Linked DNA regions of Neodiprion lecontei. The protein of the gene in region 1 interacts with the protein of each later gene in a pairwise test. Links are inferred from orthologs where the notes say so. Each region holds a gene or a part of one and is shown in the gene's direction. Other genes may lie near its edges.

Region 1 (4,627 bases):
ATGGAATAATTTACGAGGTGCGAACCGCGGGGGCGATAATCCAACGACATTTACATCCCAATAAACACTCGACCCGATACCAACGTCCAAGATACGGATGTGTGCGCTGGTTTAACGCGCGTGTTGCGCACACCTACGTTTTCACACATCAATCGGAGAAGCCGCGCACTTCGGTGTAATATGTGTGATACGGATATTATACGCGATGTAATAGACGCGATATTTGTGCGTATAAAGTATATTATATCGCAACGCCGTTGTAACCGTGTGCCGTGAATTTAATGTATGTAATACGGAACCAAGAAGAACTCATTTTTACGACATTTTAATTGTACGGTTGTCTAATTGGCCCGTAAAGCATAAAGTGCTCGTAAAAGCTTTAACGATATTATTATTACCATACGTTTGCCTGCCGCGTTTCGAGGCACGAGACCGGTTATCTCCGCGATTATTTTCATTCAACTGTTTCATTCGCGCCAGCTACACCGCGGTGTTCATTGCATTTTATTTCCTGCGTGTCTTTACCACCTTCTCTCGTTTCACGTATTTACTCGACTTCGTTATCGTGCCGAATTTCCTTTTTTTTTTTCGTAACAATTTGCGCGCTCCGCATTTTTGAACCGCTTGCTCCGATCAGTTTGCCGGAACTGAGAGAAACGGCGCCGAATTCCGTTCATTCACGGCTCGCCTTGTCGTCGCGGCAAAAGCGTCGGCAATAAGAGAGATAGTACGCAAAACGAAATGCGAATAAAGGAACAAGTGCGAGCGTCGATCGTAATAATAGAATTTGCAATTGAACGTCGTTGATGTTGGTCGTTTGAGGGCCGGGATGAGTATGTGGATGTTGGTTCGCGGCTCTCCTCAGAGGTGGCGCCGACGGTGAGCGGTCCTCCACGCGTGACACTCCGCGTGTGAGGTATCTCCCTCCAGGGTGAAAGCTCGAGGGTGGGAGAGGGGCGGTCCTGGCTGGCCTATTGGCGTCGTTCACCCGGGGAACTACTTTCCCCGGGCGTAGTAAGCTCGCAGCGTGGCGGCGCGGCGCTCGTGACGAATTCAATTCCGATTGGTCCTTAAGCAGCGCTCTTCCCCTACCTGCGACCCCATCGGTTCCTTGGCGACTCGTCCCTCTCTCTCGCCGTTCGTTCTCGGTCCTCGTCTGGCACCCAGCGGCGTATCCGCGGAGCGGCGTTCTCGATTTTAATCCGGCGGCACGTCGCCGAGTTTCTCGAGTAGCCAACAGGGGGCGCTGTAAGCAGCCCCGAGCTTTCCGAGGGGGAGATAGATCCAGCGTCGAGGGACGGCCCGGCCACGCGGAGGGGGGCGCGGCACGCGTGCGAGCGAGACGGGACGGTCGCCTTCCTCTTCCACGGGAGGGTCCCGGGGGCTGTGGAGGAGCGAGAGAGAGAGAGAAAAAGTGAGAGAGAGAGAGAGAGAAAGAGCGGACGTACCGAGTGGCGCGGCGGTACGCCGGGCGCGAGAAAAGCAGTGTGCCGTGGACCACCGCACCGGCATACCGTGGCCAAGTTACGATCCCCTTCCCAGGCTGCCGCATTTCGCGTACACCGCACACGCCGCTGCCGCTGCCGCCGCCGCCGCTGCCGCCGCTGCCCGCCCGCCGCCTCCACCGCCTCCGACTCTCACGCAGGGGACAGAACGGGACGGAACGACGCGGCACGACAAGGAGGGACGAGCGCGCCGCGCCAGTCGCGCTCGAGTCCGCGTAAACGATCCACCACCACGTTCGACCGAGTGCTAGTGCAGTTCCGACCGCCGAGTCGCGCGGCCTTATCTCGTTTCACGCGGTTTACACCCCAGCCTGGTGGTACCAACGGGTTCGGTATACATTAACGAGTAGAGACGGGGAACTACGGGCGCCACCTGCGCTCCTGCCGCGTGCTTGAGTCGAGCACCGTTTTTATATGCGATAATAGACAGCGGACTTCCTGTTGTATATTATAATACCTTTCAGACCGAAATGTCAAACGAATCGGGTGTATTGTAATCGCGGGGGTGATATAGAAGTAGAGGAAAAGGAGAGATAGATAGGGAGAGAGAAGAAGGAAGAGAAAGAGGGAAAGATAGAGAAAGAGAGGGAAATCTGGCGTTTGACGAAGGTCGCGTGCCAGGCGCACCGCGTCGCGGTTACCAGAGAGTCAAAGACGAGGAGGCAACTTTTATAGCCCGTCTTATTGCCGGGTTTTATTGCGTCGTTACGATTTAACGGTCGTCACTCTCCGCGTCGAGCGACTCTCCTCTGCCTCCAAACCACCGCAGCACCAGGGTGCTGGCTCAGCCGGCAACGTGGTACCGCGGCCGTCCGTTCACCGATCGCTCGTCTAATCGCCAGAAACGCGTCATGGTGTCCATTCCTGATCGGCACTCGTAGTGGCCCGTTGAGTACCGGAGGGCGCCCGCCGAAACGCCACCGAGACTCTCTCGAAATCTCGGTCGTGACCCTACCGCTCGGTGAATTTTACGGCCACTTGAACGGTCCTTACTTGCCTCACGGAATCCCCGCCACCTTCGCACCTTGCTCATCTGGTTCACCTGTCCTCGTTCGATCGCGGTTCCGTAGAGAGCCGTCGAGCCTCGCGATTCCGTCGCGATCCGTTGTACCAGCTTATACTCAGGAGTGGAGAACAGCTGACCGTACAGACTATTCCTCTAGCCGGGACCAAAGTCCCCTGGCGTTTTCTCGCCTTGGCGGAGGGAGGGTTTAATATTTCCAGTGAGGGTGTCCAGTGCAAGTGATTCAAAATACTAGGAATAATGAACTCGTACTTCGAGCAGACCGCCGGTGGCTTCTACGGTAGCCACCATCACCAGACCGGGGCCGGGGCCCAGCACCACGACCCCGCAACGGCAGCCGCTGCCTATCGCAGCACCTTTCCGCTCGGCCTTGGGATGTCGCCGTACGCCTCGACCCAGCACCATCATCACACGTCCTCCTCCCTGGGCATCCACCCCGGCGGCGGAACGAACACCAGGCCACCCCAGGACTCGCCGTACGACGCGAGCGTCGCGACGGCCTGCAAGATATACTCGTCGACCCCGGAGCACACAACCTCGTCCTACTCGTCCTCGACGGCGAAGGACTGCAAACAGCAGGACCAGTCGGCCCACCAGAACGGATATGCGGCCGTGATGGCCGCGGCGGCCGTCAAGGACGTTTGGCAGTCGGCAACCTCAGCGGCGAACGGACAGAGCAACCCGGTCGTCAGGCCCTCCGCGTGCACACCCGAGGGCACGAGGGTCGGAAGCTACGGCAGCCTCGTGGGAGGCGATCCTGCCTCGAGTCCGGGCAACAACGGCTCCTCGAGATCGTTAGCCTCCTCCTGGAACACCTGCAGCCTCAACTCGGCGGCCAGCCAACCGGTCGCCACCCAGCTCCATCAGCAACCCGCCGCGAATCACACCTTCTACCCCTGGATGGCCATAGCAGGTGAGTTTGTCACGCGCAATTTGCATCCCCGACCTTTCGCCGACCGGTCCCGATCCACCTAGTAGTAGCTGCAAGGGTGAAGAGCGACCGTTCTTAGTCGGAGAGATCGCACACGTGCTTGCCGCGTATAGGTACAATACCTACACTTCGGGGCTTTCGAAGCACGTGGACTCACGCTCGGTTAGACTCGCCGGCAGAGAAAGAGAGAGAGAGAGAGGGAGAGAGAGAGAGAGAGACCAGGGGACCAAAAACGCCTGCTCGGTGAATTCAAAGTAGCCAGGCGACGAACCGGGTAATTTGTGTATGCGAATGTACGCGCGGTTGTGTCTGTCTTTCGCGTACCTAATCGCGTCGTGACAAATCGCTATAGCCAGGATACTTGCGCGACGGCCGGATTTTGTTTGACCGAGATTCTCCACTTTGAATCTCAATAAAAACAATCGGCGCGTCTAGACTAGACGTGGGTGTCTATTCAGTGCCGGAGATAAATTGATCGTAAATTAGTCTGAATTCTGGGTCTCTGGTCGACCTACTACGCCTGCCAACTACCGGCTTGATTCATCCGCAAGAAAAAGTTTCCTCCCGTGAGACCGTTTAATATCCGATATCAATTTTCCCGCATGTCCTGTAACGCAAACCTCCGCGGATTGACGGGCCCTTAAGACGGCGGCAAAACGGAGTCAAGTGCGTGTAAAATTGCCGCCTGCATAAGCACGGTCCTTGTGTATACACGGGAGATAAGTGCTCCGTGGGCTCGTATACAAATGTCATCGTGTGTACGTAGGTACGTGTAATACGCCTATTGTACACAATGCAGGGGATGAGGGCGCGGAGCGTCCAATTGGGGGTTCAACCGATCAACTGCCTTTCTCTTGCCACTCACCCCTCCGGAACCTGAATTCCGGGAGTCAGCTGTTTATACTCTGATCTCAGTCACACGTACGCTGCTGGATGGCCGAGAGTCCGGTCCTTCTCTCTCTCTCTCTCTCTCCCTCTTTTCCAGTATGGGAATAATCACCGCTACACGAGGCTTACCTGTGTTCATCCCACATTCACGCACACTCACGCATACACGCGTATCGAGAGCCCGACTTGATCTCACTTTTCGACTCCTCTCTATACGCCTCTCCGTCCCGCAACCGCGCCGCCGAATTGTTTCCTTCCCTTTCCATCCTCCCGCGGTCC
Region 2 (5,369 bases), on another chromosome or scaffold:
ACGCTGCTACACTTGTTTGGTGGCAGTCAGTAACAATGCATATCGTATTGAAAAAAAAGTGAAAAAAATATGTGACAGCTATATTTACACTACATTTATACACCCATGATACTCAAATACCAAAGGAATGATTGAATTATTTAAATACATTTTTAATCCAAATACGGGGTCAGTCGATGTGATTTTAGTTTTTTCAGTACAATGCCATAACTTCTTTGATCGGAAGAATATGCCATTGATCCTTGTAAACATTATTTGAGTGAAGGGACACTTTGTTTTACACGAAGCATACAGCGCTTGGATAAAAATATCAAACCGGAAGAGCAGCTCGCGGTGAGTTATGTCCCTCAATCTCTACTCAATTTATTTAAATTATTTTTTATTGGTCGTAAATACGGATTTTTTTAAATTAAGAACTGCGTAAATTGTCGCTTTGAATAAATATGCTCTCAGGACTATACAAACCCATGGATATATTATATTTGGATCACTTAATATCCAATAAAGCCAAGGACCTTCTTTTCTCAGTGTACAACCCCTGAAAAAGTTTCAAAAAAAATTAACAAATTTTCTTAATTACTCGTCTTTACCCTATGATTTTTTTATTCAAATCACAGAAAAACATAAGCTGTGACGAATACAACACCGATTAACCGATAATAGATCCAACATTTAGCGCAGAAATGACGTAAAAGAAATCTATATGAACAACTGAAAATTCAATCGATAATAAAATAAACATTTTTCGTCACTTACTCCCGCAAATTGTACTGTCTTTAAAAAGCGTCTTGTAAAATAGGCGCAGTGATTAAGTTTATCAGTCAAATAGATCGGCAGGGTTAATTTCTAGCGGAAAAAATAATTCGAAAGCTTTGCTCCAACCGAAATGGGAATCGAACACTGCAACGTGTAGCCGCAGGACTCGTCGTTTCTGCGTACACGCTGCACGTCGAGTACCTGGTCAATAATATAAATCAATACGAAAAAGAGTGAAACGCTTACAATTATATTCTGCATGCTTCGCGTTTGTACCTGGGTAGGTACGTTATACTCTCTGAATTAGAATGAGTTAATTTTCACTGATATTTCAACGATTTCCAATGTGTGGTATGAACCGATTTTCTCCAGCAGTATACTTGTGATTAATTCACATTTCGAGAGTAGACGATACCTACTGGCGTGCCACGACTTTAATCGGCGAACGAAACATCAACTGTGACTGCGATACGGACGAATTTTTTACCAAAGTCAAATCTTATAAAGCCGAATTTTGAAAAACATCGGGAATCTGTTAACCATTAGGTATCGCTTACGATCTCGTTAGTGATCTTTCTCGAGTGGTATTATATCCAGACCAAAGTAATTCCTGCGAACCTTTCGTAAGCCTGACAATAAACTGCACGTGTACGTACATGCGTGTACGTCGTTGAACAAATATACGTACACGCAAGTCGCGCACGATAAAAGGAGACGAACGAAGGGTGTGTAAAGCCGAGGGTGGGAAAACGCTGTCGCGATTCAACAACGTCGAAAGGCTGATGATCTGTTTGTCTTCCTTGGACGCGTCTGCGCGCCTCGAGGTTGACGCTCAAAGGCCTGACACCCCCTCCCCCTGCAGGACCGAAGCGCTGGGCGCAGGACAGAAACGAATGAAGGGTCTGTAGGATCCCCACCACTGGCTGGCTGCTTTCCTCTCTTCTGTTTGCATTGTTTGATGTCAAACATTGGGCACAAACAAGCGAGGACGAAGAGGGCGTCGACTCGGAGTCCGTCGGCCTGGAGGATCCCTCAGTTGGTGCGGTTCGGCGCCTGGGCGGGCTCGAAACCCTAGGAGGCGGTCCAATCCAACGGTATATAACTCCCCACCATTCCCGGGGCGTCTGTAGAGTCGGGTTGACGCTTCTACCGTTGGCTCGTCGTCGGCAGTCTTCGTCCAACGTGCATGAGGTGAAAACGTCAAGAGTCGGATAGATTGCACCATACATATATATACATATATATGTATATATACGTACGTACGTATATAACGAGTTTGAAGGAAAAGTGAGAAGAACAGGAATCGGACACTGGTTGCACGGTACGTGATCCGGTCTCCGTGGATGTGGTTTTATTTGTCGTTGCGTTTTTGGAATGTCGCAGAGTGATAAATCGCCTACTGTTTCGTGTGATTCGATGAATGGGACGATATAACGATTCGGTTTGCTCCGAACAGTGTACCGGCTGCAGTGTTTTATGAACGGAAAATATAGGACCTATACGCGTATATAATACCGGACCGACGAAGTCACGTGTACCGGAAGGTGTGCGAGTGTCGATGCGGACTGTTTGAATCGGGCCCGGAGACCCTGCACGCCTTCAGTTGATAAAGTGCGCCGGAGGGACGAAGCACGAGGTTGAGGAGATGGTGAACATGGAAGGATCCGGGGAGCACACGGTGACCGTGTCGCTGCCGCCCCCCAGGGCCACCCTGAAATCTAACTTCAGTATACGCAGCATCCTCCCGGAGGCCTGTGCCGTGACCCCGGCGCCGCAGAGCCTCACGCCGACGAGCCAGTCCTCGAGCCCGGTGCAGGATGCTACCGCGGAGGACACGGACGAGGGTAGCGACCTGGACGTGACAGGGTACGACGACGGCGCCGACACGCCGCCGTTGGACTGTTCGAGAGGCAACGCGGGGGGTAGTCCGGGGAACGGTCCTGGGGCGAGGAAGGAGCAGGAGGCGCGAGAGGCGGAGGAGAAGAAGAAGTCGGAGAAGCCGCCGTACAGCTACAACGCTCTCATCATGATGGCGATACGGCAGAGTCCGGAGAAGCGGCTTACCCTGAACGGTATATACGAGTACATCATGCGGCACTTCCCCTACTACCGCGACAACAAGCAAGGCTGGCAGAACTCGATAAGGCACAACCTTTCCCTGAACAAGTGCTTCGTCAAGGTGCCGCGGCACTACGACGACCCCGGCAAAGGTAACTACTGGATGCTGGACCCGAGCAGCGAAGACGTATTCATAGGCGGGACGACCGGGAAACTCAGGCGACGAACGACCGCCGCGTCTCGTTCCAGACTCGCCGCCTTCAAGCGAAGCGTCGTCCTCGGGGGCCTTAACGGCCTCACCGGACTCAACGGCCTCTACCCTGCCCTCAACCACTCGCCCTACGTCGCCCCCGCCTGGCCTCCGTCGCTCTACGCGCTGCCCTACCTCCACCGGGCCGGGCCCTACTCCGTGCCATCTGGATACCCTGCGAGCCTTTTGCCGGGGGCGGCCGCCTCCGCGAATCTACCGTGCAAGCCGCAGCCTCTTCCAGCGGCCGCCGCGCCCCCGGCTCACGGCGCCTTCTCCATGGAACGGCTGCTCCAGGCCCCGACGTCGGCTTACCACCCCGCGAGTATGCCGCCGGCTAGCGTCGCGACGTCCGCCGCCGCCGCGGCCGCCGCCGCCGGAGCTTACAACGACTTTTACTCGACGCTGAGGAGCCTCGCTGCTCATCAACAGCACCAGCAGCAACAGGCCGTTCTCCAGCAGCAGCAGCAGCAGCAGCAGCATCAGCAACAGCAACAGCAGCATCAGCAGCATCAGCAACAGCAACGCCGGTACCAGCAGCAGCAGCGGCATCATCTCCCTCAGCAAACGTCGACCCCTCTCAGCCAGACGCCTTCCACCACCGGCTCCCCTGACAGCAGCCCGGAACCTCATCCCCCGCACTCGCCCCCCTTGTTGCACCAACGCTAGCAGGCCCTGCGTCCTGGCATGCCATTCTTCCGATTCTTTGAAGCTACCGAGTGAGCCGATAACAGCTCTGACGGCGGGGCAGTGCTGAAATCGGTAATTTGGCTTCATGATTTTTTCGTTGGTGTTACGTACTGTAAAGGGGGGCGAGTTGCAATGCTTTGCGATATAACGACCGGTGATGTCGGTTGAAAGGGTCAGAAGGGGGCCGAAACCGTTTGCGGTATTAGCTGAAATCGCGATAACGGATGCGCTGACTTCAATAGAGTATTAATTCACGCGTAATTTGTGTAAATATATTACTTAGAACGTTGCACGTATAAAAAAGTTATATTACCTCGTTGTATATTTAAAAGTAAAATACTCGGTGATCTCCGGTTTAAATGTTATTATACATGTAAATATGGACAGAGAGAGATCTTGTAGATAGTCAAAAATCAACTTAATCTATTATTACTATTGTATCGACAATATTGTATACATATATGCCTGCGTATACGATGTGCATACACGTATCGTATACGCAAGACGAATGCAATGGGTATACATATATGTCTGTACAGATTCTTATAGACATGAATAATTATACCCCATATACAGCTTAGATTGGACCGCAGTACATACCTACTGAAAAATTGAATAAATATAATTTATACGTAGAACAAAGAAATGTTATAATACACGTTTATTATATACATGGCACACATTATATATATATGTATAATTGTATACTGACGTACAATGTCGCTTGAATCGCTAGGCTATAGGCGCCTCAATCTTCGTTATGCACGGTGCAGCTCTTTATACTGGCGTACTTATTAAACACACCATAGCAATTCTAACGCTGCGCGTTATACACGCGACGATATGATTCTCGGTATACGATAGGTCGTAGTAACACAGAGTCGAATCTCTAATTACTATACATTCGTAGTATACCTGTATACCTGTATACATGTATCGCTGATATATATATATATACACCTTGTTTGTACAAAACAGATTAATAATTTCGTTATAAATATGTACATATATGCAGTGATATTATATATTGAAGAATATAAGGACACAATGAGGATGCAGGAGTGAAGTACAGAGAAACTATGATTACGAAATAAACTTCGAAATCTTTTAATATAACCGTTGTAAATTTCGTCAACTTATTTTTCAAACACCTAAACCCTCCGCTCCGTTAATTATGACCATGTAAGCCGAGCGGTACCGTTAATCATAAGCCTATAAATAGACCGATTCATGATTATAGTCAACCATAAATGAAATTCTTGAAAATCGATTTATACAGCTCGATAGCTGATTTCCAACCCATTCGTTTAATTTAACACGTGTACAAGTGTAAGGGACTGGATTTTTTCGCCAAGTTAACCTCGGAATCAGATACAGCTAATTGATACAAAGAGTAAAGTAGGTACGTGGGAGGTAGATATCACCACACTTCAAATTGCGTCGAGGAAAAGTTATGCGGGTTTCCCTAATAAAATTAACAAGCAGAACCCGCTGGCTGTCAAAACAAAATACTTCATAGGCGTTGGAATTTGGGACGTAAGTTTCAATGCTAATGGTTCCGGGCATTGCTGTTGTATACCTGGAAAAACTGTCCGCGAAAATAAAAACGCTGCCAGTG
Region 3 (4,883 bases), on another chromosome or scaffold:
AAAATACACCGCAACTTCGATGAAACTCACGTTTCGTATCTACCGCGTCTCTCGGCTTGTCAAAGAAAATTATGAAGAAATTTGCTCGCTCGTTTCGGGACGGGGAAATTTATTCCGGCTACTCACCGTTCGCTCAGGGTGCAGGCGGGTGACCTGATGACCCAAATAACCCGGAAGGCGACCTGGTCACACACGAATTTCCACGAAGCGAACCTGTTTCAAACGACCAGGTCGCTTATTTAGCCCGACAAGTGTAATAGCCCACTTTTCAGGTACGTCAACTGAGAGTTTAAGTAGGTCAGAACGGCTCGCGGTTAGCTCGAAAAATTCGTACCGGTACGAGTCAAAGGGGTGGCAGCAGCTGGAAAATGAGAATAAAAAACGGGCCAAAAACAGGAGCAGGGATCGGTCGCGGGTGGAAGAAGAGAGGAAAAATAAGCGGGAAAAATGGTCGCGCCGGCCGGAAAAACGGAACGGCAACCCCGGGTTAGGCGGCTCTGCTGACGCGGCAGATGGGGGATTTTGAACGAGGGTGATTTCCTCGGATACCACGCGTCATTGATTCCGATACAAATCGCGTATAAAGTTTAAGACGACGCGTGCAGGCCAAAGCGCCTTTCAACGGTCACCGTAAACTTTTTCCTCACACAGAGATCAAAGCGTTATATCGTCCCATTTCGTTTAAAGGGTTCCTCGGATTCCTCTTGCAGAACGAAGAAAAAGGGCCCCGCTGATTGCGCTGATATGTTGGCGAGGAGATCGGCGGATATCCTCTCCGCCATTTTTCACCTCCAAGTATCCTGGCTGTCGTCGGCTAACTGCCTGGTCGGTGAAGTGATTCTGGCGAACGGATTCAACGAGAACCAGAATCAGGGGATGTTTTCACGCTTCCATGTCGGTCAGGATGACTGAAAATTCACGAATTATTCACGCGTGCAGGGCTTACGGATGTGGATAATTGATCCGTCATTTTCACTGAGTACGATTGGAACGCGAAGACTCGGTTTTGCAGACTTCAACTGTCTCGATGAATTCGGTCCGCTTGATTCTTGGTCGTAACTTTGTCGCATCTCAGATATGCTTCAACCCTGTACTGGGAAGCCGAGTAAATTGGTTAGTCGATGATTTCTCAACCATCCGGAGGACAGCCGAGTGTCCGGAATACCTCGAGGATTCAGCGGTCGTGTCTACCGGCTCTGCAAACTGCTGCAGCTCCGTTCGGTTGAAACTGCAACGATGATAATCGATGAGTGCGGAGTGACATGGCGGAGTAACTAAGGTATGGAAATAGCACGTTTCCTGGTCGGCAGAATAAATCGGGGCACTCCTTTACCTGCGTCAATTCCCGGGTCATGCTGGACGTGGACAAGCGTGCGGAATACCGCTGAAGCGTTGGAAGAATTTGCATTCTATGCGATTAGTGGTCGCGAAAAGCGGACGAGGAAAAACGTGACGGAATGACGATTCCGATTCTCGATTGGAACGGGCCGCGCTTATACACCCTTGACGAATATCGCCGCGTGCTTTGACGAGGATAAAAACGTCGTCGAGGTTACGGATTTCGGTAATACGGGACCGTGCCCGCGACTTAGCAACGTGGCTGCTAATTAATGCCGAAAACCACACCTTCGCTGGCAATTCTGCCAAACTCATGCATCTATGACAGCGATGGGCGGGGCAGGACGGTCTAAACAAATTTTCCCGATCCCCGATTGGCCGGGACACTTAAAAATAGTCGGTTGGGGTGTGGTGACTCGGATACGGCCAGGCGTAGCACACATCAAACGGCATAAATATCTACACACTGGCTTGTCGCCCGCCGCGACACACATTCAAACTACACGGAGAAAACCCATGTGGCTTGCGGAGACACTGCCTGTAGAGGATGCCTGCGAGCTCCTCACTCCGATGCTCGACCTCGAGGATTTCAGATCTTGAGTACCCTTCGGAGCCCGAAGTCGGTCCGTTGTCATCGCAGGCCGCGGCTGAAGAATCGCGACCGTACCGCAAGTTCCATATTTCCGTCAAACGCTCCTACCGATCGTTTTTTCTTGTCGCGGATGATCCAACGCGGATGGATCATGCGCCGCGAAGCGGTTTCGCGTTCGGAGTGACCAGCGGTCGGTTTATCGGGGACTTTTACGGTGATGAATGTGAAAATACAGATCAGTGTAGCGAGGAACGGTTGAACCGATGCTTTCGAATCCCACGATTCTTTGAGAAGCCCAAACAAAGTTCACCGTGAGTGTCTGGAGCGTAATCGTGCGTGTGTGTTGACAAGTGTTTTCTGGCAAGCGCGTATTCATCGGTCGGAATAACGTGCCCGTAGTCCAATAAACTTGGAAAATGTTCGAGTGACGGGAATCGGGGGAACTTTTTGGAAGCGGGGAAGAAAGACGGAAAGTCACGCGGCTCAAGCAGGTCCGAATTTTACCGTCCCCGAGATGATGACCTTGATGACAGACGTCGGTCAGTATCCCTACGAGGCGGGGAGCAGGTCCTCGTACGAAAGTTATCACCATCATCGACATCATCATCACTTCTACGCGACAACTTCCGACGCCGATTACCTCCAACGATACTCCAACGATCGGGACGATCATCCGAGGGCCACAAGCGCCGATGGGAGCTTGGCTTCGGCTGAAAGCAACGGCTCTGGACGCTGCTATCATCGAGATCCTCTACGGTACTCGTTCATGCACGTAATACGCACCTACATGTCCGCCTTCGATTTGTAAAAGAAAAAAAAATTGGTCTTCTTACAACGCTCTTCGCCCCCATTTGCTGTACGATGATTTTATTTGATCATTGATTTGGCGGTTGCATCGTGTCGTTAAATTTTACACTCTCGCATTAACGTTCGGAGTGATCCGTCGAGGCGATCAATGGTCCAAGCGAACGGTTCAAAAGCCGATACTTTCACGTGCAGATGAAAATCAAAATGCGAGCATAATTCTACCAGCCTTTAATAACCACGTTTGGTCTGAACTCGCTTATCGCATTCGGCCTTTAATACAAACGTCGATCCGGTACATCAGCAACAGTCGATAAACGTCACGTTTTCAACTAGAATTGAATGATTGAGCGTTCCTCTCAAAACTTTTAATGACATCCCTCGGACCCGAAAGCACAATTGAATAAATTTATTCGTATCATTTTCCGACTTGTAACAATGAAATATGTTGAAAGTTTACCCGCACTCGAAGTAACCTCGTATTTCCGTAGAGAAAAAGATAAATAAAAGATAATAAAAAAGGGGGTCAGGCCGGTTCGGAATTGGCGAAGTTCCGCGCCTATTCAGACCTCTGAGAACGCGCGGCTGCGGCAACCGCATGATGCACGGTATCGCATGCGTATAACACAAGGCGCGTGCTTCCAGGCGTAACTATCGACAACTATTGAATAACTAGGCTGCTTCGCAGCGAGCCTCCTCGACCACGTCGTGTCCCCATATCTACATATATATACATATTCTACGTGCATAGCGCACACACAAGCAGGAAACACGAGCAACCGCCAACCCAGCCTAGCAAGTTATACACACGCCTAGAAAATTGCGTAGTCTGAAAATATTCCGACAAGTATACAAATCTCGATGGGAGATAATTGATGAAAAAAAAAAAAAAAACCGAAGAAATTAGTCGTTAGGACGCATTTTAATTCCCCAGGCGACATACAATTTTTTTTTAAAGCAAAAACTTCGAGGATATTGACCGTCGATCAGTGCTGTTATACCGATCTAATTAACCAATTATTCTGTTTTTCACTTTTAATGTATTTTTCTTTTTCGGTTGAGAAAATTTATCGAATCAGTAATGAAGTCTGTGTGAAACGAGGTAAAATTAATTCTCCGCAAGGGTAACACGGCGAAAATATCAGCGATTTGTTTTTTTTTTTTTTCTTCATTCTTGGCACAATTTTTACCGGAGATGAAGTACTCGTACTTCGTTATTAGATGTGAAAGAAAATTAAACAAGCCACTGTACGCAGCCTTTTTACCGTTTCGTATACGGGTGTGCAAATTTTCCGGTTCAAATCCATATTAGGAGAGAGAGAATAATGCTGGGTATGAGAAAATGTTATAATTTACTCGTTAGAACCGCGCAGTTTAATATCGGAGGGCGTCTCGTTATCTCTCGGATTCCAATCTAACCAAGGATCTTCCTCTTCTGCCGGAGCAAGTTTCCTCAAATTTATATTTGTACGTTATTATTCCAGCCCCGCTTTTGTAATATTCCGGTTACCATTACCTCGGTGAAAAATTATAGTCGAGTAATTTTTAGGATCGATTGATCAGGGATCAAATAATACAAGCGAATCACCCCATCAAATTACGTTTGAGTATACGGAAAATTAACTTTACGAGTTTGAATGAAATCATACGCGATTCTCCTGTGTTTGACAATCGGCCAATTTGCTATACAATCCGAAAACATTATTTCTGAAATTACGTAACGCGTTTTCAAAGGGTTCCAAAATACAGGAGGGTTTCCGAGTGACGTACCGTGCGAAAACAAAAACTCTTTAAAATTGATAATTAAACTGTACTGATTGTTATAGAAAAGTTTCAACATCCACGTTCCGGCAGTCACGGGAAATTTTCTGTACAAACTCGACTAAATTGACCAGAATAACAATGGAGATTATTCAACAACTTACCACCTTCATTTACCGATACCAGATGTACGTCATTATTTAGTTAAAGCATAAACGGGTGTCAAGTTGAAACCGCAGTATCTGTGTACCTACAAATAAGTGCAAGCATTTGATGGAGGGAAAAATATTCCGCAAGCCTAATCGTATAATGAGAAATGCGCTAATTCGCTGCTTTTTATAAACAAGCCCTTCTCTTGCAGAGTGCATTAATTACGAGGGTAAAAAAG
Region 4 (7,526 bases), on another chromosome or scaffold:
TGCTCGTTTTTCCCTTCATGATGAATTTTGACATCTTTGACAGCACCAGTTGATTCCAAAAGAACTTCTAGATAAAACATATCCGATGATATAAACAGTTGTGTACCAGAAGTCCCCAACATGAATTTAAGTCTGCAATAAAACATTCAAGATACGATGAGTATAAAATGTCTGAATAGCTGCACATTGGGTACATTTCGCACGGGTTAAACATATCTGAAGGTATGATATGAAAGATTTGGAGAACCACTTACCCTAACTGCCTTGTCAGACTTTCTAGTCGTTCTACCATGGACTGCAAAGACGTGACCTTTATGGAATGTTGCAAAGTATCGAGGCATTTTTGCAGTTGATTTTTTTCAACACTGTCAAGGGCGAATCGTTTATCCTATAAATATGTTAGACATATTTAAATTAATCTTTAGAGACTAAGGCTCCTTCTTAAACAGTTAATATCGAGCTCAATTAAACCTACCAGCATGGCCATCCGCAGATTCTTAGCAATTTCGACAAAGGATTTAAAAGAAGCAGCCTTTGAACGAAGCTTCTCCATCAGCAGCTCCATTTGCCATTCTTTTCCCTTGTCCACCGCCGGGCTGCCAACAGCCCCGGGGGCTGCTGGAAAATTCAATTTATTTTCAGCAAGATTTCCATTTGAATTAAAGAGGCGCGTGTGATAAAACCAGCACAATTGATAGACAATGACAATAATGATGCCGGCATAAATTTATACGACTGGTTGTGTAACAAGGGTCTATCTCATAGCAACGCATAACTGATAAATAAACGCGTCAGTGAAAATTATGCACAACTCTTGGCAGATAAACACAGCGTCAGCTGGGGTTTTTGCTAAACGAGCACGTTTTATGTTGGTTGAAAATGAGTGGATAGGATCACGCGAATTTGTTATTGTTTGAACGTGTGCGTGAAATAGCGTAGCAATCAGCGTAATCAACGAATTTTGTGTCCCCCACCAAAGCGCACGCATGTACTATCTCGGTCAGCATAGGATCAGCCGTCGATCGTAAAACATAGATATGATGGAAATACTTACGAAGGCCCTTCTGATTGTTCCCCGCATCCATGTATCCTTTTCCGGATAACACGGATGCCATAATACGCTTTAAACACCGTTTCTCTATCCACGCGAGGTCAACACATTTTACATTCCAACGGCAGCATCTTGCTCGTTTGCTGCTTCACTCCACTTAGCTCAGCAGACCTCGCTTTCCTAACCTTTGCGCCCCCTTAGCAGTACACCTTTGCGCATCGCGCGTCGATCTTTATCGAATCAGCTGATTGGTCGACATAGCCATCTGCGACAATCGACCCCTCGCGTGATCTTTAAGGGGGTCCCTTGGTCGATTTCGACGTGCATAAATATGTGTAAAGAAATGGCACAGGTGTTAAACTCGAGTAACAGAGAAACACTCAAATAAGTTTTCATTTGACGGAGAAATAAATAAATGGCACTGTAAATTCGTAAAATTCATATCCTTTTTTGCGTTTGAGACACGTGGACTTCAATATTTAGAGATACATGCATCAACGAAACCTTATCATCGAATAAATATTGTTGAAACTGGAAGATTACCGTCGGTAATTGTTGAAAGAGCTCCTGAACGTGCTTTCGGATATCTAACTATACATGATTTGGACAAAATCCAACTACCCGACTTCCCTTCTCCGTTGATCGGCAATCATAGCCATTCTACAACCATTTGCAGTCACTGCCACGGAGACTGTGCAAGGAGCACGAACTCCATGTATACAAATCGTTTCCCAAAATAAGAAGCAATTAATATACGATAAGTACCATAACGGTGAGCGAGGTAGATGAATCACATTGCAAGATCGTCGATTAGTCAATCTTGGGCATCTCTACAACTAATGACATTTCGGTGCTACAGGAACACTAGTGACGCTAGTGGTACAAAACATGAAGCTAACGTTTACGATTAGTGTGACAAGTTTGGTCAATTCACCCATTTGAGTTCATGCTCCTTGTACAATCTCCATAGTCACTGCAGTCACTGACGCTGTGGTTGCGACAAAACGCCATTATCTGTGTGATCGGAATTAGATGTAACGTTATTTGTGTCTTTTGACAAGTTATTGTGGATAGTTTACGACTAAATAATAACCTTTGAACATTGATACCGCAATGTACACCAGGAGCAGAAATAGTCAGGGAAATTACCCAAATGGTAAATCAATTTATGTTAATTCATTTTTACCGAATCTGAGCGGCATACTACAAAATGGATGACGCTAAATTTTCCTTTTTGAGTAAATGCCGGGGCTCGAGACGACGCTCATACTTCTCTATCGAATTAGTCACTCAAATACAAACTCGGAGTATAGAGCCGATTGTATAATAGTTACGACTTAAAACAGAACCGACAACAATAGCCTTTGATTTATTGTACATACCATCCAGTACCTATGTGGTTATTGATTTTTATTCGTTTGTAATTACTTGCTGCAAAGCAATCAATTATTCGAAAGAGAAAAGTAACCCTGAATAATGCTAGGAACTTTTCAAATTCCAGTAAGGGGACAGTCGGGAAACATAAATTCTGGACCAGGATACCAGAATTCAACGGTAATCATTTTTCCATACTGATAATCCAAACCAATGAAAATAATTTTTACTTCACTATTTGTAAATTTTATGTGATTAAAACGCTCATCAAATTGCGTGAAGTATCATTTGGACAAGTACGTTTTATAACTCATGGACCACAAATTGAACAATTGAATAGACAAAGTTTGTATTATATATGTACATACAATATTCTAAATTTTTTAACATCGCAGATCTTTTCTCTTGAAAATTCAATTATTATTGTTAGTATTCATCATCACTTAGTATTACATACACAGAGTTGTGCATTTCTCAAGTCTTCAACTAATTTCTAATAAAATAAACCATCAATCACATTATGATTTATTAGCAAAGATCTAAAATGCGTAAATGTCAAGGTATTTCGACCAATATTTATTATACCTTGAGAACATTAGTATAGATGTATGATAAATTATGCACTTTAAAGTATCGTAGATTCAATGCAATATTATTTATTATTTGACAATGTAAAGTTCAAAATTTCACGGTGTAGGCTTGTTTTTTTTCCTTATCTACTTCTCTTTTATTTGGTTTGTTTTAAGTTTGTACAGGAACACAGGTTGAAAGACTGATTGGACAAGCTGTAATTGAATACTTGGAATATTTGAAATCTTTTGCAAAAATCTTGGAAAGTATTTTTTTCTAGAATCATATTCCACTACCTGCAACTTCAGTATGGAATTACCTACGCGTTTGTTACCTACCCATGCTAATAATGAGGTTGTAGAATTTTCATAGAGTGAAGAAACAGATCTCATTTTAAAGCCAAAACTAAATTGGTAGTAAGAATTGCATAGATATACGTATACCTGTTATTCAATCTCTTTGGTATTGTAAATGCTTGCTATATCTACTTCTTTGCATCATAGTCATCAATTTTTAGCAATTTAATGCCACTCTTGGTGGCAAAAGACACTATTTCGAAACAGTTTGATGAGATCTTTGGACCTCAATTTAATCAATTTATAAACTGTGCTATTTATTCTTCAGCTTTTTTAATCATTTCTAACAGAAGTTTAGGAATTGAATTTTTCATTTTAGTTCTAAACTTTTTAGTACATGATTGAACTGAAATTTTTTCTGGCCACCATTGATCACGGTTCCAAATCAAATAGTTTTTTTTTTTTTCTTAATTCTCTGAAAGTTATCTTATTGCCAGCCCTGATTTAATTAAATATAAATAATCATCACTGCAAAACTTACGAAGTCGATTCAGGATGTTTGACGATCAAAGAAGTAGGCTAGTATTTTAATATTATCCCTGTGTTCCAGTTTCCAATTATGATAAAAGTGCAGAAGTCCGCCTTTATTTGCATGTACTAATTAGTGGTTCCCATCTTCCCCTCTCCTGCAAAGCAGGCCCTAGTAGCTATACAACAATACCGAGGAGGTGCGCCCCGCCAGGGGCAGGCTCGCCAGTTGCCCTCATAGCATAATGCATCCTGAGCCAGTTCCTTAATGATTCGTTCTAAACTCATGTTCTGAACACCTTGGCGATACACGATTTTCTTGCATCTGTTCTATTCCATTGGGTGATACTGCCGACAAGAGCTAAAATCATAAGCACAGAATGAGGACATGGTTTTACATTGTACTAGATTTGAGTTTACTGTCACATATTTTACAAACTACTTGTTTATCTGATATTATGAAATTCTTCATTCTTAGTTGGGCAAGAACAAATGTTATTTTTAATTGTGTAAAGATTGTCAGAGATGATTTATTTCATAAGAAGGTGCAAAAATTTGTGTATCTCTTGATGAATTAGATTGATGTTGTTTTCCAATAGCTGGTCATGGTTTAGTTATGAATTGAGAAACGTCTAGCACTGTTGAAAGGAATATCGGCAGGTGTAAGCTATAGGGGTAGCGTCAGATTGCGTTTGAATACGTGTGCGACGTCGGGCCCTGGTGGGGTAGCACAACCGCAGAGGTTCCTTGTGTAGTGGCGAGACCCACCCTATGATTTACAGTATTCGCAACAAGGGAATTTTCAACCGTCTCAAATGTCGGGACAGAATCAGCAGGGACCTTACAAGAATAATCCAGTGCAAAACTCGCCGCAGTTTAAAGCTGCAAATCCAGTACATCAACAACAACAACAGCAGCAACAACAGCAGCAGCAACAGTCGGCCAGAACAACGCAGGGCTCTCAGCCTCCAAAGGCACAGCCAATTACTCAGACACCACCTCAGCAGCAGCAGCAGCAGCAGCCTACCACTCCGCAAACTCCGCGTCTGAAGCCAATCCTCAAGCAACCGTCATCTACTCCACCAGCAGTTACTAGTGCTCCTGTTGCCGCTAGCAGTGTACCTGCTGCACCAACGCCAGTAGCTCAGCCAACAACGCCACCAACTGCTAATAATAATGAGACTAAGACTGAGGATACGAAAGAGAGTATGGATGTCGACAGTCCGGAACAACCGAAATGGAAACGTGGAAGGGTATCTGGCTGTGAGTATGAGATTGAATTTCTTTTTTCGTTCAGTTCACATTATACAATATCTAAATGCTGGATAAATCAGTTTTCTGTTACTGGTGTAAGAGTTATGAATTGACAATTAATGATGAAAATTCACTGCGCAAATTTGAAAGTTGTACAGTTAGCTGCATACTCCAAAGTTTTAGTTGTCGAGTTGTAGCAGTTGAACAACTCGTGTGAACATTAGGACTGATTGATTGTTATTTTACTGAGACTTTCATCGAATTTACACATAATTTGATATACTCACTTGAAACATGTTCATTAAGATAAGGTAAATAAGAAGCTGAAGCGGCTTAGGATGAATCAACGACTGAGGAAGGCTCTACAGCCTAAAAATGCGATCATGGTATTGAATGAGATGAAGACTGGAGTACAATTCACCTTTCCGGAGTCACAAGCAGCCATGCCGAACTCACTATTCGTTGTGCACGCCGAAGTAAGTTTGCATGTAGAAATCGGCATTTGTCACTGAAAGAAACATCCACTGATATATTATCCAGTTATCATCGGAATATTGGATGCCTGCACGCAAATAATCGCAATTCGTTTTGTTATCCAAAATTTAGTAATAAAATGACGAAATTATACTTACAGATTGACGGGAAGACTTACGTTGGCCAAGGATTGTCTAAGCCACTTGCGCGACAGAATGCTGCTGAGAATGCGTTGAAGTGTTTGCTCCTTGAGAAAATGACAACAGCCACAAGTAAAGCACGAATTGACGCTGAATCGGATGGGCAATCGATACAACCAGAATCAGCCCAACAGATTCCACCTATCAAAGAGGAAGGCAACGAAATGGCAATTTGCCCTCCGGAAACGGCTACTGAAGAACAAGATGAAGTGCCCTGGAGTTCTTTGGCTAGTTTTGCTCTCTACAAGCTGTTTTTGGAGTGGCAAAATCAGGGCACTGTAGTCCCAGTACCAAGACCAGGTGTTTCTACTGGGCGTGGTAAGAAGGAGCCAAAGGCTCCGGTTGAAAAAGATTTACCAATAAATGCGATCAACATTCATCCTGTCATGTTGCTCAATCAAATGAAGCCTGGGTTGACATATGTGGAAATTAATCGTACCGGAAACCCACCAAACACAATGTTTACTTTAGCTGTGGAAATCGATGGAAATGAGTATCCTGGTTCTGGTAAGAAATTTCGTAATTACTGATTTCCCGAGTATTTTGCTATTTTGATGCGATTTGTTTATTTTTGAGGGTGATAACAAATCTATTTCTTTTTACAGCCAAGAATAAAAAGGATGCCAAAAAAATGGCAGCTAAAACTGCCTTGTCCGCGCTTTACGGTTTAACATATCCCGAAGAAACAAAGATGGATCATACAGAAGACATGATGTGTTGAATTCTTTTACAAACATCTTGTTGGGGTGATTCGATTTTCCATTTTACACTTACTCTATTTTTCTTTCGCTTGATATTGACGTTTATGTAGATTGTAGAACAACTCTGTGTTTATTCAAGATCATAGATTGTTGAAATCGTGAGTAGTACAAAGGTATTTTTGTTAATTCCGAATCATCTGTTCAATTGATCAAATTTTATTCTGTTTATTTGCTATTATATTAGCAAATACTTTACTTTTATTTCGTAACCTTAAATTTTAATACAGAACAAAAGTATTGAAATTAGAAATGTATTTTATCGAGTAGGATAATATTACGTACAATGTATAATAATTAATAGCTTAAGGACACCTTATTCTTGCGACGTTCAAGTATAGAATATTATCATTGTGGTGAATCCTGCTTTTTCTTTTACTCACGTTGTTTCCGTTTGAAAACACTCATTTTTACCGCTCATTGACAAAAATAATGTATTAAAAAGTAATTCATTATACTATTAATTACTGTTGACTGTAAATCACATGTTAATGCCAAATACAACTTACCACAATCAGATGTTTCATAATTCGCTTACCTCTACATTCAATTTAGTAAGTCACTTTCAACTATTCAAGTAGTAATACTAAGTTGAGTTTAAATTTTTCTTTAAGCGGCAAACAATATATTATCCCGCATAAGACTCATCTCTTCCTGATCTGTGTGCTCTTGCAACTTGCTGATCAGAGTTCCCAAAAACGATTGAAAATCAACTTTCAATTTATTGGCACCTTCTTCAGTATTACAGCTTACTTGCGATATTCTAGACAACTTGGGCGCTGTAATAAAACAGCAAGTTATAATTAATACATAGTTCATGTGAGGAGAAAAATAAAATCACTATATCATTTCTTACACATCTTTTTAGGAATTTCGACACTGATATTATCTTGATCGTGATGAAAGATGACACAATTTGTTGGACCAAGCCCAGTTTGATTAACGAAATAATCGTACAATTGTTCTAGCTCACGAACATAGTCCTGTGATTTACCGTTGTGTACAAAAATCACACCATGAC

The links.
Region 2: the proteins of homeotic protein ultrabithorax-like (region 1) and fork head domain transcription factor slp2 interact in a protein complementation assay, tested with the Drosophila melanogaster proteins (2 studies listed by BioGRID). The link is inferred for Neodiprion lecontei from reciprocal best matches to the Drosophila melanogaster genes Ubx and slp2.
Region 3: the proteins of homeotic protein ultrabithorax-like (region 1) and transcription factor SUM-1 interact in a protein complementation assay, tested with the Drosophila melanogaster proteins (2 studies listed by BioGRID). The link is inferred for Neodiprion lecontei from reciprocal best matches to the Drosophila melanogaster genes Ubx and nau.
Region 4: the proteins of homeotic protein ultrabithorax-like (region 1) and mediator of RNA polymerase II transcription subunit 15 interact in a two-hybrid assay, tested with the Drosophila melanogaster proteins (2 studies listed by BioGRID). The link is inferred for Neodiprion lecontei from reciprocal best matches to the Drosophila melanogaster genes Ubx and DIP1.

What each region holds. Positions count from the first base shown.
Region 1 is NC_060260.1:3,090,628-3,095,254, forward strand, and holds the start of homeotic protein ultrabithorax-like, read left to right. Parts: upstream 1-1,581; 5' UTR 1,582-2,769; coding exon 2,770-3,442; intron 3,443-4,627. UniProt on the Drosophila melanogaster protein: Sequence-specific transcription factor which is part of a developmental regulatory system that provides cells with specific positional identities on the anterior-posterior axis. Binds the consensus region 5'-TTAAT[GT][GA]-3'.
Region 2 is NC_060262.1:42,363,557-42,368,925, reverse strand, and holds fork head domain transcription factor slp2, read left to right. Parts: upstream 1-1,898; 5' UTR 1,899-2,401; coding exon 2,402-3,730; 3' UTR 3,731-4,867; downstream 4,868-5,369. UniProt on the Drosophila melanogaster protein: Transcription factor involved in segmentation. May function primarily as a segment polarity gene. Different levels of slp activity seem to be required in different segments.
Region 3 is NC_060263.1:35,021,021-35,025,903, reverse strand, and holds the start of transcription factor SUM-1, read left to right. Parts: upstream 1-1,883; 5' UTR 1,884-2,444; coding exon 2,445-2,686; intron 2,687-4,883. UniProt on the Drosophila melanogaster protein: May play an important role in the early development of muscle.
Region 4 is NC_060263.1:3,104,652-3,112,177, forward strand, and holds mediator of RNA polymerase II transcription subunit 15, read left to right. Parts: upstream 1-2,008; 5' UTR 2,009-2,164; coding exon 2,165-2,207; intron 2,208-2,552; coding exon 2,553-2,605; intron 2,606-3,988; exon of another isoform or gene 3,989-4,601; coding exon 4,602-5,082; intron 5,083-5,379; coding exon 5,380-5,549; intron 5,550-5,707; coding exon 5,708-6,254; intron 6,255-6,352; coding exon 6,353-6,468; 3' UTR 6,469-7,022; downstream 7,023-7,526. Other genes in the region: mediator of RNA polymerase II transcription subunit 1, read right to left, coding at 1-132, 255-388, 476-618, 1,055-1,115; intraflagellar transport protein 22 homolog, read right to left, coding at 7,115-7,284, 7,362-7,526.